2 linked regions of the Xenopus tropicalis genome follow. The protein of the gene in region 2 interacts with the protein of the main gene of each other region in a pairwise test. Links are inferred from orthologs where the notes say so. Each region holds a gene or a part of one and is shown on either strand. Other genes may lie near its edges. The genes, in order: cpsf4 and fip1l1.

Evidence for each region.
Region 1: the proteins of fip1l1 (region 2) and cpsf4 interact in binary tests that used the Homo sapiens proteins (3 or more experiments, as listed by UniProt). The two-hybrid records come from large-scale screens. The link is inferred for Xenopus tropicalis from reciprocal best matches to the Homo sapiens genes FIP1L1 and CPSF4.

What each region holds. Positions count from the first base shown.
Region 1 is NC_030685.2:47,251,995-47,260,340, forward strand, and holds the end of cpsf4 (cleavage and polyadenylation specificity factor subunit 4), read right to left. Parts: intron 6,623-8,346; coding exon 6,470-6,622; intron 6,020-6,469; coding exon 5,924-6,019; intron 5,865-5,923; coding exon of another isoform or gene 5,835-5,864; coding exon 5,741-5,834; intron 5,069-5,740; coding exon 4,996-5,068; intron 4,912-4,995; coding exon 4,741-4,911; intron 2,506-4,740; coding exon 2,437-2,505; 3' UTR 2,091-2,436; downstream 1-2,090. UniProt on the Homo sapiens protein: Component of the cleavage and polyadenylation specificity factor (CPSF) complex that play a key role in pre-mRNA 3'-end formation, recognizing the AAUAAA signal sequence and interacting with poly(A) polymerase and other factors to bring about cleavage and poly(A) addition.
Region 2 is NC_030677.2:39,670,712-39,679,057, reverse strand, and holds part of fip1l1 (pre-mRNA 3'-end-processing factor FIP1), read right to left. Parts: intron 7,362-8,346; coding exon 7,252-7,361; intron 6,768-7,251; coding exon 6,671-6,767; intron 5,372-6,670; coding exon 5,212-5,371; intron 376-5,211; coding exon 337-375; intron 1-336.

The sequences.
Region 1 (8,346 bases), on a different chromosome or scaffold from region 2:
TGGAAGCTGGAGGCAGTATAGGCAGTTTTAGCAATGTTTCCACTAATACACAAAAAGCTTTCTCCACTAGCACATGCTATTAGTCTAAAGGAGAACAGTGATGTAAGCTAACAAAAAATGTTTTCCCATAACAGTATCCCATTAAATGGCACTAAAGAGCTCTTTATAAAGAAAACCTTCATTTCCTTTTCTTGCTTGAAACAAGAGGCAAAAATATTGTATGTTCAACACAAACCTCATTCATGGAGTTCATGTTAAAGTGTACATTGTCCGTTTAAGAGATCTTAGAGCAGTGACATACAGTGCAATTTGTCAACCTCTGCCTTTAAATGGAGATAAAGAGCTCTGTATAAACAAAACCTTCCTTTTTTTAAAACAATAGGCAAAAAGTATGTTAAACAGAAGCCCTATTCATGGAGCTCATGTTAATAAAGTGTGTATACTGGTGTGTTGACTAGGCCTATACGTTAATTCTGAATTATCAGATAGAGGTAGAATACCTATTGTTTCTACCTGCATATCTGACGAATCAGCTCTTAACATTAACCAGTGGTTGCAGGAAAGATAGTTATTGTAAGGTGTATGTCCACCTTTAAGCTGGACATACACCTCGTTTCGTACAATATTCGGTACGTGTATGGTCGACTCGCCGATCGGGCGCCATTGAAGGCGCCTGAGCAAAATCTACCTTCAGGGCTGAATCGGCAGAAGGAGGTAGAAATTCTTTTGTTACTACCTCCATATCTGACGATTATCTGAACATCTATGGAGGATGGGAATGATCTTTCGTGCAACGTGTGTGGCCACCTTTAGACCAGTTGCACACAGGGCAATTTGTACCTCTGACAGAGGAAAACAATGATGTGCAAGCAGAAAGTGCCTGTCTGCTTTTCATCTCACCTAATGTTATTAAATGTTGTGTTCCTTGTGCAATAGGGCAGTCAGAGCAATGACAACAGACCTTTTGTCTGCTGGTTTCCACTGATAGCTGTAGTGGTCAACACAATCTGTCTCCACTGGTATTTATGTAAGCATGTGGTGAGTGTGGCCATAGTCAATTGACAGCTGCAATAATGGTGAGCACCGCACTGGCTTCAACCCTGGAGACAGGTCTGGACTGAGATTCAAAAAGGCCCTGGCACTGTACAGAGATGCCCAAACAGAACTGCACAGGCCCAGTGGTTGTCTATGGCACCTTGCAGCAGCCCCAATGGCTGCTACCAGAACCTACAGATTTCCAGTCCAGTGCTGGCATATTGTTTCCATGTGTCTGCTACTAGCTAGGAGCCCCTTAGTTACTTTGCCCTGTTCCCTTCCACTTTTTGCTTGGGGCAAAGGAATAAAGGAGTGGCTCATATTTACACCAAGAAGTGCTGGAGAACATCGAATCTACATTCTGTGGCACTCTGAGCCTATTATCCATAGAATGTAGTGTATATATGGAGTCAGAAGGAGCATGTCTGCTAACATAATGGGGTAATAAAGGTACAGTCTTATGAAAAAGTTTGGGAACCTCTCTTTCTCTTTGGAGTTTTGTTTATCATTGGCTGAGCTTTTAAAGTAGCAACTTCCTTTTAATATATAACATGCCTTATGAAAACAGTAGTATTTCAGCAGTGACATTAAGTTTATTGGATTAACAGAAAATATGCATCTTAACAAAATTAGACAGGTGCATAAATTTGGGTACCCTAACAAAGATATTACATCAATACTTAGTTGAGCCTCCTTTTGCAAATGTAACAGCCTCTACACACCTCCTATAGCCTTTGATTAGCAAAATTACAAGGGTACCAAATTTTTGCACAGCCAGTTTTTCACATTTGATTTAACTTCATACAACTTAATACTGCTTCACTAAAAATCTTTGTTCAGAAAGCATCCCAGTACTCAGATGTTCCTGGGAAATGAAGACATGCCACTGTTACCGTTTTTGTTGAAAGTGGCGTAAATTATTATGCAGACTGAGAGGGGTTCCCAAACTTTTTCATATGACTATTTTGTTTTCAATCAAACTTGACCCATTTTTTTCTAAAATAATAGGTAACACTGGTTAGTTCATTAGAAGTCTATTAAGATACAGTAATCAGTTTCCAGTCATCACTAAAATAGATTTTATTAACAATGTTAAGTTCAAGAGAACTGTTGGCATTTGATCTAATCTGTACAAAAGTTATATTAAAGAAATAAAAAGAAATAAAAATACATTTACATTTTTTTATTTAAAAAAATAGTTACTGGCAAAAACTTTCACTTTGCCAAACAGTTCTTGGCAGGAGAAGATTCCAATAAACTGCTCAGAGTAAATAGCAGAAAATATCCCAATATTTACTTAAGAACAAGGAAAAGTCTCCAGCATCTTGATGTCAAAATTAAAAAGGAAACGTCTGTCCACTGCGTCCTTACAAGAATTATGTCCATACCCCAAACCACTTGTCACTGCCCACTCAAGAAAGCCAAGTGACCTTTTGTACATCTGTTGGCATAATGTCCTTTCTCACCACACTGCAATAAGAAAGAAAAAGAAACATTTAATACCAAAATTAACTACTTGAATATAGATTAAGTGCAGTGGCACTCTGAGCTTTGTACCAATTTTTTTCTTAGGGTGTAACCCAGTTATCCCCAACCAGTGGCTCCTGAGCAACATGTTGCTCCGAAACCCCTTGGATGTTGCTCCCAGTGGCTTTAAAGCAGGTGCTTATTTTTGAATTATTGGCTTGGAGGCAAGTTTTAGTTGCATAAAAACAGATGTACTGACAAACAGAACACCCTGTAGGCTTCCAGTTCATATAGGGGCTACCAAACATCCAATAACAATTTTTATTTGGAATCCCAGGAACATGTCTTATGCTTGTGTTGCTCCCCAACTCTTTTTACATTTGAATGTGGCTCACGGGTAAAAAAGGTTGGGGATCAACAAGTATAGGTATGGGATTAGTTATCCGGAAACCCTTTATCCAGAAAGCTACAAATTACAGGAAGGCCATCTCTCATAGACTCCATTTAAATCTAATTCTCTGTAATTATAAAACAGTACCTTGTACTTGATCTTAACGAAGATATAATTAATTCATATTGGTGGCAAAATAATCCTATTGGGTTTATTTAATGTTTAAATACATTTTTAGTAGATTTAAGGTGTGGAGATCCAAATTACAGAAAGACCCCTTATCTGGTCACAAGAATTCTGGATAACAGGTCCCGTTTATGTACAAATTATCAGCAATTATTTCTTTGGACAGCAAATGTGTATGTTCTACAGGTATGGGACCCCTTATCCTAAAATCCAATATCCTGAATTACAGGATGGCAACTAAGCCAATATTATTATTATTATTATTATTATTGTTTAGCCAATATTATTGGCTAAACAAACCTACTATGTTTATTTAATGTTTACATGATTTTTAGAAGGCTTAAAGGGCATGTCAACCCCAAAAATAATTTTTTGCATAATGAAAGAAACCATAATAATTCTAAGCAACTTTCCAATATGAAATAATTAAAAATTTGTAGCGCTTTAAAAATGTTATTTGTAAATATAATTGCTATTGAAAGCTGCATTTGCTGAACTTCTGGTTGTTACAGTTTAAACAATGTTGCAAAGGTCTTGCTTCTCCAGCAAGTCAGGTCTGTCAGTCTGCTGGCTTGTGTTACAATGTTTCAACAGTCAGAGCCACCAGAGCAGAGAATAGAAAAGGACAGGCAAACACTGCTTCTAATAGCAATTATAAATACAAATAACTCAAAAACCATTACAAACATGTAATAAATGTATATTGCAAAGGTGCTTAGAATTTTGGTTTGTTTTATTAGGCAAAAAATTACATTTTGCGTTGCCTTGTCCTTTAAGGTAAGGTAATTCAAATTACAGAAAGATCCCTTATCAGAAAACCCCAGGTCCCAAGCATTGCTGATAATAGATTCTATACCTGTAGTATTTCACTACAGGTATAGAATCTGGAAAGTCACATACACTATTATATCTCATATGTGACTGTCTGGCAATTCAGATAAATGGTCTTTACCTAGACAATGTATCAGATTTAGTCTCTTGAAGGTTTTATTGTACTGATTTTAATATTTTTATGTATTTGTATAAATGCATATTATTTGAGGTGCTCTTTTCTTTATATTAGTAGTTTCCCTTCTTGCCCTGTTAGTACAACCATCTATAAATATAGTACCTGCCACTGTTTTAGCTACTGCTCCAATTGAATTTTTTAAATTTATGTGCATTTTACTTCTTAGCTATATATTTTTATGTGCTAATTATAGATGCAAGTATGACATTTCTGCTCATATTTGTTTTTAGGGGTTAGTTCTCTTTGCCGAAGTTATAGACATTCAATTAATGTATAACAGCCTCTAAAATGGTTGGATGCCCACTTTCCCACAAGAAAATTCAAAGAATTTCCTCTCTTTTGTGAATCTTTTCAAAAATTCGCAATTTTTTCTGCGAAACGGGACAGATTCACTTATCACTAGTCATGTGATCACTGCATCAGTGATTAGAGCTGTGCTTTAAAAAAAAAAGCAAGTGCAATGCCCCTGCATATCTCAGGCTTACCCCCTGTGTTAACACAAATCATTTATCTGGGCTTAGATTTCAGAAGCTTTCAATGGTGAACTTTTCAACAGAGCAAATGCTTTGAAAGGCAGAATGATTCTTTAAAAAAAACAATTCTATTATTTTAAAGATCATAGATAAAGATCATACATTAGATAAATTCTGACCTTATAGCAGGTAACTTGGTCCAGTGGCCTAGGTCCCCGGTTCCCCTGGTTGCCACTTTGTGACTGCATGACACCGATTGTCTGTGGGGAACGTTGTTGGCTGACAGGAGAGTTTTGGCTTGTTAGCTGAATGAGTGAGGATGACCTTTGTAACACCTGGTTATTATTTTGCTGGAGATAAAAAATAAACCTGTAAGAACTCTTAAACCATAATTTTGCATAGTGTAAGTTTGCAAAGTGTAAATAGACAAATACCTTCTGTTGAGTCTGTGTTTGCTGGGGTAGAGGCGGCTGTTCTGTGGTTCCCATAGGTAATTCAAAACGTGGACTGCAGAATTATATTAAGAAAACAGTAAGTCTAATTCCCTCATAACCCCCATAAAAGTTTGATAATATTTCCAGCATAATCTCTTTTTAAAGGGGTATTATAATGAAGACACTCATTAATAAGCTTTAACAATCACTTGCTAGTGTTCAGGCAACACTAGCAAATCTATGGTTGTCTTCATCATATATAACTTTGTCCATTAAAGGGACACTAACACTTCTGGTATGTCCCCATTTTTCCTATACAAAGTTTTGGGGCCAAATACAAAAAAGCAGTGGAGTTAGATTGCTGACAGTTTACTCCTATGGAAACACAACATAGTAAGGCAATACTAAAAGTTTATCTATAAATCATTTGAGCTTTTTTTTTTTCTAGGGGATATCATAAAAAGCTCTTATCCCAGTCCCTCCCTCACAAATACAGAACTGCTGACCACAGGCAGCAATGTATTTTATGGGGCAGACACAGATATCTGTGCTTTGTTTTGGAGTGCACAGACCTGTGCAAATTCTGTTAATTCCCTACCCTTCACTATTTGACACAAACATTTTCTAAATATAATCTATAAAATGTTATTTGGGAAGAACACAAATTCAGCAGGTATGAATACCACATGTCTGGAAAGTCACTAAATGAGTACATGTGAAGAAGATGGAAAATAAATGTACTCACTGCATGAATTTACAGTTAGGGCCTTCGATACAGAATCCCACCAAGTAATTGACACAAATTACTCTTCGAGTATGCCGGTGCCTACAGAGGGGCCCTGAAAAGACATAATATAAATTAAGGGCCACTGACATTCCTTTGTACAATATAAAATGGCAAAGATTTTATAAGGTCCTATAATCTTACCGTGCTTACAGAAGCCCCTGTCATACCATGGGCAGTCTTTTATCTTTGATTCCGGGTCAATATGCAAAAATGGGCACTCTTTGTTACTGCACTCACCTAACAAATACAAACAAAAAATAATTCAACTAATATGCTGTAATTATCAAACTAGCTATCTGGTTGAAAACAATCAAAAAGCATTCATAATTCTTACTTCAAATATATATATTTAGCACAAGCTCTGATCATTGAATTTATGAAAAAGTGGGTGCACTAATCCTTAAAAAAAATTTAGAAAGGGGTCTTGTTAAGAATCGTTCAGATTTTCTGGATTGTGCTGGCCATATCCCCTAACATACACCACACTGCCCAGTAGCTTTGTGTAAAGGGTTAATAATATAAGCCAATACATGCACCACTGGTTATGGAAGAAAAAAGAACAAAAAGAAATAAATTAAACATTAACTTTTTAATATAAAAAAGAGTGAGGTACTGACCACCACAGGTATAACCTTTAAAAATAGACTTTAATGCCAATAAAACCTATTAAATAATACAATCACTTACCAAACTTGGAGTAGAAGTAGCACTCTGGCATTTTAGTCATATCATACTCGTGCAAAAATTCACACTGGTCTCCCTTCTTGCAAAGGCCTCGTAACCAATGTTTACAGACCACTGTCTTCTCCCCACTGATATGTCTAAACGGACACATTCCGCCTGCACAGATAAGACAGATAGTTTAAAAAAGTGAAATATATTATTCTCTCTCTACCTATGTACATTGGTGATGCACCGAATCCATAATTTTCAAAAACTGGCAGAATACCCACAAAAACTGGGACCCTAATTTGCAATTTAAAATAATGCTTTTATTTGTCCAAGGATCGAACTCTGGAAATGGTGCATCCCTAATATAAAAGAAATAAAGAGAGATAAAGTGATTTTGTATATTATATTTCTTTAATTCTTTATAATAGCATATATTTTGCAATCTATTGTAGGGCATCCAAAAGAACAACATTTTGGGGGATTATTTATTATCACTGGAGACAAACACCTACAAGTTAGAAAGCAAAAGCAAAGATCAGCTTGGTATGGGCAACATCACCAGTGATGTTTATCTCCAATGTTAATAAATACACCCCTGTGCTGTACTTCATGCTAAGTGTCTGTGGACAATAATTTAAAGGGGAACTCCACCCAAACACAACTTAAATGATGTACTTTTCAAAAAGTGTAAGCAATTTTGCAATATAAATCAATTAAAAGATATGCAGCCTTTTCATGATTTTTAATGTAATAATATGGTTTTAAACTGTTCTAAGCCTAGCCCCTGTTCTCCTCCTTATCTGGATCACTACTTTGAGATTCAAATAAAATATAACAGTAGTCTACTGCCTCAGCCTGCATCCTCCAAATCCCAAAATTCCTTGCAGACATCATGTCAATAAGGAAAGAAACATTATAGTGCAATGAATTGTGGGTTATGTAGTTCCTGCTTGATGTCTGTAAGCTGTGGAGAATTTGTATAATCAATGTTTTAGTCCCTCCTGCAAGGATTTCAAATGATGCAGAAAGAGAAGAACTATTTTGCGGATAGATTTCAGCACATAAAAATTGTATTTATTCATGGTTTTTGAAGGAACAGATTACAATGATAGGTATATTACAGATTTCTGTGTTGTTTGGGGCTCTTTAACAAATTGTATAAACAAATAAAAGAGCAGTCCTATAATGGCACCTATCTCTGTTGTTGAGGGGTCCTAGGATTGTCAGTAGGTTTTCATTCTCCTTTACATTTCTAACTCTCTTCCTCAGCCCGGTGCTCCTGTTTGTAAACAATGCATGGGTCTCAGAAGCTATCTAACACTGCATTGCAAAGTCTTGCTAGTATGTTAAAAGGCTCCCCTTATGCTTAGCTGAACTTGCACAGTACAGTAAAAATCTTCACTATTTTGTGCATGTGCAATTAAGAAGTTCGGAAAGAGCGTTTGGAAATACTAGTAAAACAGCAGCACAGTAGTGATGTGTGGGTCGACTTTTTGTATTTTTCAAATATAAGACTGATGTCCTGTGGTGATTAGTCACCCGTGGTAAAACTCTGCTGCCGCAGGGGACTAATCTCCCCAAAATGCCTTTCCGCACATACACATCGCTAAGTCATCCAAAGTTTCCTTTGTGAGGAAACTTTCGGGGGACTTAGTGATGCGTATGCCTTCCCACTGGCTATTCACGTTATTGCCAGTGGGAAGGCATAAACATTGCTAAGTCTCTCTAATACTTGCTAAGTATTTCTGGTAGATTAGTTGCCGTGGTAGCAGGCGACTAGTCTCCCCATGGAGAGGCCCTAAGCATTAAGCTGCCAACAGCAATAAATCCGCAAATAATTTTGATTGGTTGCTATGGGTGATGACACAAATGTAATTTCTCCCCTATGTTAG
Region 2 (8,346 bases):
TTAAGGAAATAAAAGTGGAAACACACAATTATAAGACTTTTTTTTTTCGAATAACTGTATTACTCTGTAATTGATACAAGTTGTTATAGTGCTTAACAGAAGGCAAAAAGACACACAATCTTGATTATCCTATGACAATGTGTTCTATGAACCCACCAAAATCAGCCCATTTGATAGATACAGTTAGATACATAGGTTTAACTACACTTACACAAGACAGAGAGCCCAAAGCATGTAGTATCCTTACTAAAAATAAAGTTACCCATATATTTGTGCATGTGTCCATTTTATTTTAAAATATACTGAAAACACACAAAATGTGCAATAAACATTTACCGTATCGAGATGGTTTTTGCATCGAGAACGATATTGATCCTAGGAGAAAAAGGAAAGCACACACAGATTTTCAGTTTCAAATGGGGTTACAGTGACTAGCATCATGGGTTTATAATTTGTATAGGTCACTATTGGCTTTTTTGTATATAAGATTCCATGAAGTTTGATCTTCACTTCAATGCAATAAAATCTGAATGTTCTACTTGTGTAAATGAGTGTAAATGAATGTACACAGTGGTATCTGAAATTTCTTAATGTGCTTTCATTTAAACTAAAGTGTAACTTAAATATACAGGTACTTGCTAGCAATTACAGCACCAACAACTAATTTAGTAGCTAACCCCCATATGTAATAAAAGGCACTATATTTGCCCAGTAGCAGTAGCCCATAGCAACCAATAAGATATTTGCTTTTAAACATGTGACCAGTAAATACTACCTGCTGATAGGTTGTTAAAGGTTACTGCTCCTGGGCATATTTAGTGCCTTTTATTGCATAACCCCATAAGAGCTCCGTGACTACCATCAATTTCCTACATGGATAGAAATTTTAAAAAAAAATAAAGTTTTGCGATACCTATTCTGAAACCGTGGGTGTTGTCTCTGCTGCTGTTATGCCAGAACATAAGATATTCTCATATTTTATCAGCTGGTCGCTTTTGAAAATGTAACACTAAAGGAAGGTTATGGAAGGAAATAAAGAAGGTTGCTTGCAACCAGCTGGTAAGATATGGAATCTTATCAATGGCTAACAGCAGTCAGAAGCACCTTTAGCAAAACCAGGAAAATCAATGCAAGAAGAGCATAAGCATCCTACTAGACCAGAAATCCCAAAAACATTTTTTTACTTGCGAGCCACACATATTTAAAAAGTGTTGGTGAGCCACCTAAGCCTGAAAAAAGTTCTTTGGGGGTGCTAAATAAGGGCTGTGATTGGCTATTTGGTAGCCCAATGTGGACTGCTAGCCTGAAGGAGGCTCTGCTAGGAGTAAAACTTTGTCCAAAACTTGCCTCCAAGCCAGAAAATTAAAAATGGGCACCTACTTTGAGGGGACTGGGGGCCATATCAAACGGGGAGGTGAGCAGCATGTTGCTCAAGAGTCACTGTTTGGGGATCACTGTACTAGACAAATAAATGGAAACTGAAAAATGGGGAGGCACTGGGTGAAAGTATTTAGCATTGCCACCATAACTATTTCTGTTTCCACCACACACTGTAGGGAGTATATTCGGTGTTCACCTGGTCCTCCCTCTTCCCTCCGATTTTTTGCCATGTTCTAAAAACAGGGAGAGTGGTTCACAGGCTTCCAGTAAATTGCCTCTAGAGTGAGTGTGTACCAGTGGTAGGAAAAGAGTTTAAGTTTCTATTATGTAAGGACAATCTCTTGACTATGCCGCAAACTGTCTTTCTACTATGAAAGTAAAGCATAGTAACTTAACATTAAAAAGGTAATTTTAGTGGTAGCAATACCATATAGATGCCACGTGTTTTAACATGGTTATATGCCATAAAAATCATGTAGAAAATATGAGTTGCATTACCCTACGTTGTAGAGGCTCCATGAGAAAAGGTGGACTCCTATGATGTCACATAAGCAAATTACATTTATAGATCATTTATGTATGACCACTTATGGTGGCCATACATGGCCTGACTCTGTTTCTCTGGAGCAAGTCAACTGCTTATTGGCCATTGTATATAGCTGTCTGATGGGCACGTCCAACCAATATCTGGCTATATCATATCAGCATGATTTGACTTGAAATCCCATTGAACAAGAACTGAGTCGGCACGTAGATGCTGTTCTCGTTCAACAGGCCTTTGTAGGCCTGTATCTAAAATATGTTACCTCTAATCCATTTGAAACAATGAAAATAAACTGAACATATTGCTCTGTACAAAAACGAAAATGAATTCTTGAAATGACACAGAACTCCATAAAAACAAAGTTATTGGATAGCCAATCACAGAGCAGCTTTCTGTTGCACTCCCCATTCAGCAGCCAAGGTGTTAACCGGACTCTACAGGGCACTTTCCTGATATAATGCAAGTTCAGTTTTTTCTTGCAAATGAGCTTCACAAGGAAGACTGAAGCCTAAAAAGGCAACTTCAAAGCATCTTCTGTTTTCAAAAGAACTTCCACAGGATGTTTTATATTTGCAATTCTGGATTTTTGGCCATGTCTCCTAGTTAATGTGAGGTAACAACTGGGCCTTTTCTCCCCTATGTTAAATGAGGAGGTATGGCACAATGCTATTTTTGTAGCAGCTTTGAAGATAAAGAGTTGGCTAGAGTGCAAATAAAACAAGGACCATTGGGAGCCAAAGCCACAGCCTTGCATGGTTTGCTGCAGATGTACAGCGAGCACTGATTTATGGGGAGAAAGATCGCCAGAAACCTGCTAGCCTAACAAGAAGGGGTGCAAAGTTCTTTCTAGATAATGTACTGGTCTCCATCCTTCATATTTGTGTCATTAGTTCCAAACTTACAAAGAAAAAGTCAGGAGAACTACTGCTTTATCATTTCCAGCTAAATCACAGATATCATCCCCATTAGGACATAAATTAAGAGTTAATGCACAGAGGCAGCATAAGCAGTTTATCTGCTTAATTACACAAAATATAAGGCATATTAAAAACAATTTTCTTCCAACATCCAGGCAATTTTGATATCTGTTGAGATATATTTATCTTTAAATGAAGGTGAATTATTCACATTCCCTGGTCATCATCAAATACAGTTGGTGTTTCAAACAAGCCTAAGGATGCATATCACTCCCAGTGCAATACCCACAAAGAACTACATCTGGGTTTAAAAACTAACACCAGTCACTGGACATTGTCATAACAGCTTTTTGAAAACAGAAGGTATTCACATGCCTCATGCTAGGCACACAGTACTGCCTTAAAGTGGATGTTGTCATCAACAAGTCCCTATTGCAAAATAAGTACTGTGACAATAGGGACTTACAAGATTTAAAGGAAACTGTCAGGTTCAGCACTGTTCATTTCCTAATCCCCTCGCAAAGCCTCCGAGCTTAGCAAGCGGTAGTGATGTGTAGCACACCCTAACCCCCCCAGACCTAACTTGTACGACCTGCATCATCAATTATATACCAGCGTCTGACCAGCCCATCTCAGATGTCGCTGAAGGGGGTGGGCCAGAAAGAGCATGAGTGTATAAAAGAATGCCAACAGGAGGATGTAGGAGGAAAGGTTGCAGCAAGAGATAGGGCTTTGGGTGGGCTATGGGTATAGCAATGCCTATAGAAACATGTTGCGCCAGATTAAACCCACCTGAGTGTTGTATGGGCCAACCTGACACAACCTGCTAAAAAGGCCCTATTGTCAGAATTTTTATTTAGCTGATGTTATAAAATGGAAAGCAGCAGGCAATGGGAGGAAAATAATTCAAAGGGGGGTCACTGACCAAAGCAGCCATACAATTATTGCTCTGTGAGACAAACATTTTATTGATACTTTTTATTCATTACCTTTGTATTCAGACCCGAGCCTAGTCATGTTTTATTGTCTCATTCAAACCAATGCAGCAAATCTGCGCTACTAAGGGCAACAAATCTAAAAAATGCCTTGCCATTGCATAATATTAAAATCTATGCAAGTAAAACATATTACTCACAGTGGTCCAGCTTACTCAAGGGAAATTGACTTCTGACACATTTTCCAGCAATTAAGCTGGATTGTGACATGAGTGATTTGTTTTACTTGTGGCAATCCTAATGTTATGCAATGGCAAGGCATTTTTGGGATATTATTTTACCGCCATTGCCCTAAAACGTAGTTTGGTACTGGCCAAAGAACATGCAAGTGTATAAATCCTAAACACGTGCTGAAGGAAAGATATGAATGGAACAAGAAACAAAAAAGGGAGGGGGAAGAAAGGGTCCAGATGTGTGTATATTTTCCTTGGCTAGGGATTAGCTGTGTGTCTGGTTGTATCAATACAATAAACAGCAGTTTTACATTGCTGTATGATAAGTACAGGAAGAAATATTACAGATAAAACATAGAACAGAGTGAGACTAATGACTTCTGTTTTGACAAGATAGCCACTGTTTACTGTATCTGCATCTTAAAGCTTCTCTGTATTTAAGGTTTTTAACTCTTCTTTCAGCATATATATTATATCCAGCATATATATGAATTATTTCTTGGCAACAAATACTCTATTTTATGGAATGGTTTTCAGTCTACAGTCATGAATGCTACTTAAAAGAGGTTATCTTCCTGTGTATGAACTAAACCCATTTTATTCTATACAGCTTATGTCACCTGCTATTTAAACATGACCCTTTTTGCCCTGTTCAGCTTGAATGCCTGCCCCATGGTTACAAAGCATCTTATTAATATAAACTGTAGTAGAGTTTCTGAAGCAATGAAGTATTTTGTTAACCAGTGCAGGGGTAACAGCACATTATTTTTTAATGCAAACATATACACTTTAGTTTCATGTTTTTTCTGTTCCTGTAATGCTTGTTCAGTTTTACAACTTGTTCAGCTGTGAGTACGTGTAATGCAGGTTTGGCACAGGAAACTGCTGCACTTTTTTTTATAGCTCCATACTATTTTACACTACTCCTCAGTTTCCCAAGTGTAAAGTTTAGGGTATGACCTCTTGTTCTAGCAATTCTTTTCTCTGGGTGCATACTGTCCCACTCAATTTGGGCCAGTATATTCAGTACCTAGTGCTTCCTGCATAAAAGGTAAAACACACTGCACTCTTACTTGAAACACACTAAGCACCAGATATTCTAGAAAGTGCACGTTAAACTCCTTGATTCTGGCAATTTGTTCCAACATAAAATAAAAAGCATTGAAAACTGAAGGTGAAACAAGAATTTTGCTGATACTTACCAGGAGGTGGGATGAGAGGTGGAGCAGTACTGACATTTGGTGGTGGAGGAAAAAGTGGAGGTGGTGGTAGGTGTGTGGGGGGTGCTCCAGGAGGGAAAAATGGTGGGGGTGGCTTGATAAAATTATTATCCACTTCAGAAGGAGACTGTTCTGAAACTACCTGAAACCATAAAAGGCAGAAATAACTTGAGGATATTTGAGACATCCAGCAAACTTAAAATGTACTATCTTATGTTTATCAAAGCAAAAGAGAAGCTAAAGTCACTGTGAATATAACCACTTACCCTGTACTGGTGCTCCTGTTTGCTGAAAACTGCACTGACCTGTGGTACTTTTATTTGTGCACCATATTGCAAATATTCTATTTCCTACTTTCCGCAGTGGACCTGGGTCTGCGCATGTGCAGTAAGTGAAAAAGCTGGATTTTTGCAAATACTTCAAGCTTTTCACTCTACTACACATGCAAACCCCATGCAAAGAAGTTTGAAGCTGCACCCATTGCCCAAAAGGTACCTCAGGCCAGTGTTTTCAACTAGCAGGAGCACAGTTCCAGGGTATCAAGTAAGCAATTATGTAGCACCCACAGTCAAGCCTCCCATATCTCTGTTTTCTGACCCTCATATCAACCAAACTGAACCTTTAGATGTCCTAAAAACACATAAGACCTATTTCAGTCATAGACTTATGGAAGAGTTATAGTCATTATACCATCTTCTACAAACATATATATGCAATATATGGATGCATATTCTGTTTCCATGTCCCCCCAACTATTCAACCCTTCTTCCAATCAGGTCACTAACTGGGTACTCTTATGTTTATGAAGATTTTCATTCATCCAGGTCATGGTATATCTAGTACAAATAAATTTAAAGCAACTGGACTTGTTTGGTAATCATTGAAGACGTTTCACTACTCATCCGAGCAGCTTCTTCAGTTCAACTCTTATCAAAATCTGCAAATACTGCTGGGCTGCTTACTCAAAGCAGAATGTATCATAGCATTTTATGACGAATCATTTCTATTCTACTCCCACAGACCTTCACCATAATGGAGGTTCCTCCAGCCCATGAATAAAGTTAACGCTTTCCTTTTTGGTTGGGAAAACTATTACTACCATCACGTGATCAATGGTCTACAGTCTCCAGCAACAGAAAATTTGTAGCATTTAAGGGTTTTGGCACACGGGGAGATTAGTCGCCCGCGACAAATCTCCCCAAAATGCCATCCCACCAGCGAAAATGTAAATCATCGGTGGGATGGCATGCGCGGCGGTGGGATGGCATTTCAGGGAGATTAGTCGCCCGCTAACAGGGAGATTTGTCGCAGGCTAAGTAGTCTTTATTTATATTAATACTTTATATGTATCAAGTTGTTAGCAAGTACTTTTCCCCCCAATGAAGGCAGTTTTGAAAAGACAAAACAGGTCTGTCACTGGTTAATTAGGAATTTACTGTACCTGGATATTGCTTTCATTTGCACCTCGCCGCCGTCCCTCTACACGAGTGATAGTGGTTGTCTGACCAATCACATCAATTGCGCTTGAGGTTTTTCGACTGTAAAACAATTAATAAAGGACATCCAGAAGTCAGATGTGATAAATTGTCATTGCTTAACAGTATCTCTCATTAATTAATCCAACCACACTAAGGGAGAGTCATCTACAAGCTACTCAAGGCCATAAAAGTTGCAATGTGTTAATTTAATCAATTGATGAAAAAAGTCCATTTGAATAAATCTGGGCATTTGGTCTGTGGGCAGAAAAAAACATCATAAAATTTGCAATGTTGGCATTTATGACTATGGGCCAAGTCCTCCTAGTTTTTGCCCAATGACTATTAGAATTTATCAAAATAAAACTGAAGTTTTGTAACAAGCCCTTACTAATCAAAAATTAAAACCACTATGTTATGATTATTAGCTAGTTAGAGAGCCTTTAGTCAATAAATAATTTCCACACAAAATCTATAAAGTTCTCATCCGCACAATCTTCAAGTTTTGCTACAATGCATTTGCACTCTATAAATGAATCATATTCACCTTGGAGGAGGAACACCAGGTTTGAATAATGAAGTGGGAGAAGTAAACTCTGGTTTCACACTCTGCAAGACTGTATCCTTTTCTGCATTGCCCGTTCTTCCCTGCTGTACCTGTGAATAAATCAAGGCCTAAGCAGTTGCAAACTCACCCTAGATTTGTGCTCCCAATTCTGCTTAATCTGTGCACTTTAACAAAATCCAACTTTTCCCTATTATGCATTTTCAAGAAGAACCCAACATAATTTATCAGTAACTGTTAAACAAAAAGGGGGTAGTTCACAAAAGCGGTGATATTGACGCAAAATAAAAGTGGAGATTGATTTGTTTTCAGCCTTATTCACAAACCTCTATCTCTACCTTTGTGAATTTATCTTTTAAACAGATAGTTTTCAGATTTTGTTTTTTAGATGATATTTTAGTGATATTTATTATGAATTTGTCTTTAACTCTTAATAAATCCGTCAGTGCTATCAAACCCAGTCCCACATCTACATTTTGCATTTCATTTGCCAGACATTTCAGTCGAGAGGCATTTCCTTAAAGTTTTTCAGGACAAGCTGGGCTGTGTGTTTGTTTTGAAATGTTTGTGTAACTCCATTTGTTACAAGATTTAAGGGGCTAAATATCTTCTTCATGGGAAGAAGTGAATCAAGGGCCCACCCCCTGCACTACTTCTCTACTCCCCCTGCCCCCCCACACACTGATTACTGGTCAACAAAAATCTGGCCCACCCACCAACATGTCAGATGAAAAGGGGCCCAACAGTTTTTCCCCAGTGCCCTGTTGGGCCAGTAAACCTTGAATTTACAGAACCCCAATATCCAAGTTTGGGTTCCAGTGCACATGTGGTTCTTGCTGATTACCAAGATGGCTGCTGAAAACTGAAATGACACAGCTAAAGGTGGGGGGGCAATGCCGTCAAGCATCTTGATAGTTCTGTATAGATGCACAGATATGTTATGGCAAGGTAAAAACTTTTTTTATATACAAGATTGTATACATTACAATTTTTTGTTTAATCAATGTTTTACTTGTTTATAAAAAGTTAATAAAGCTTTTTTGCACCTTTTGTTTTAGGGTTAGACAGAAACTTGAC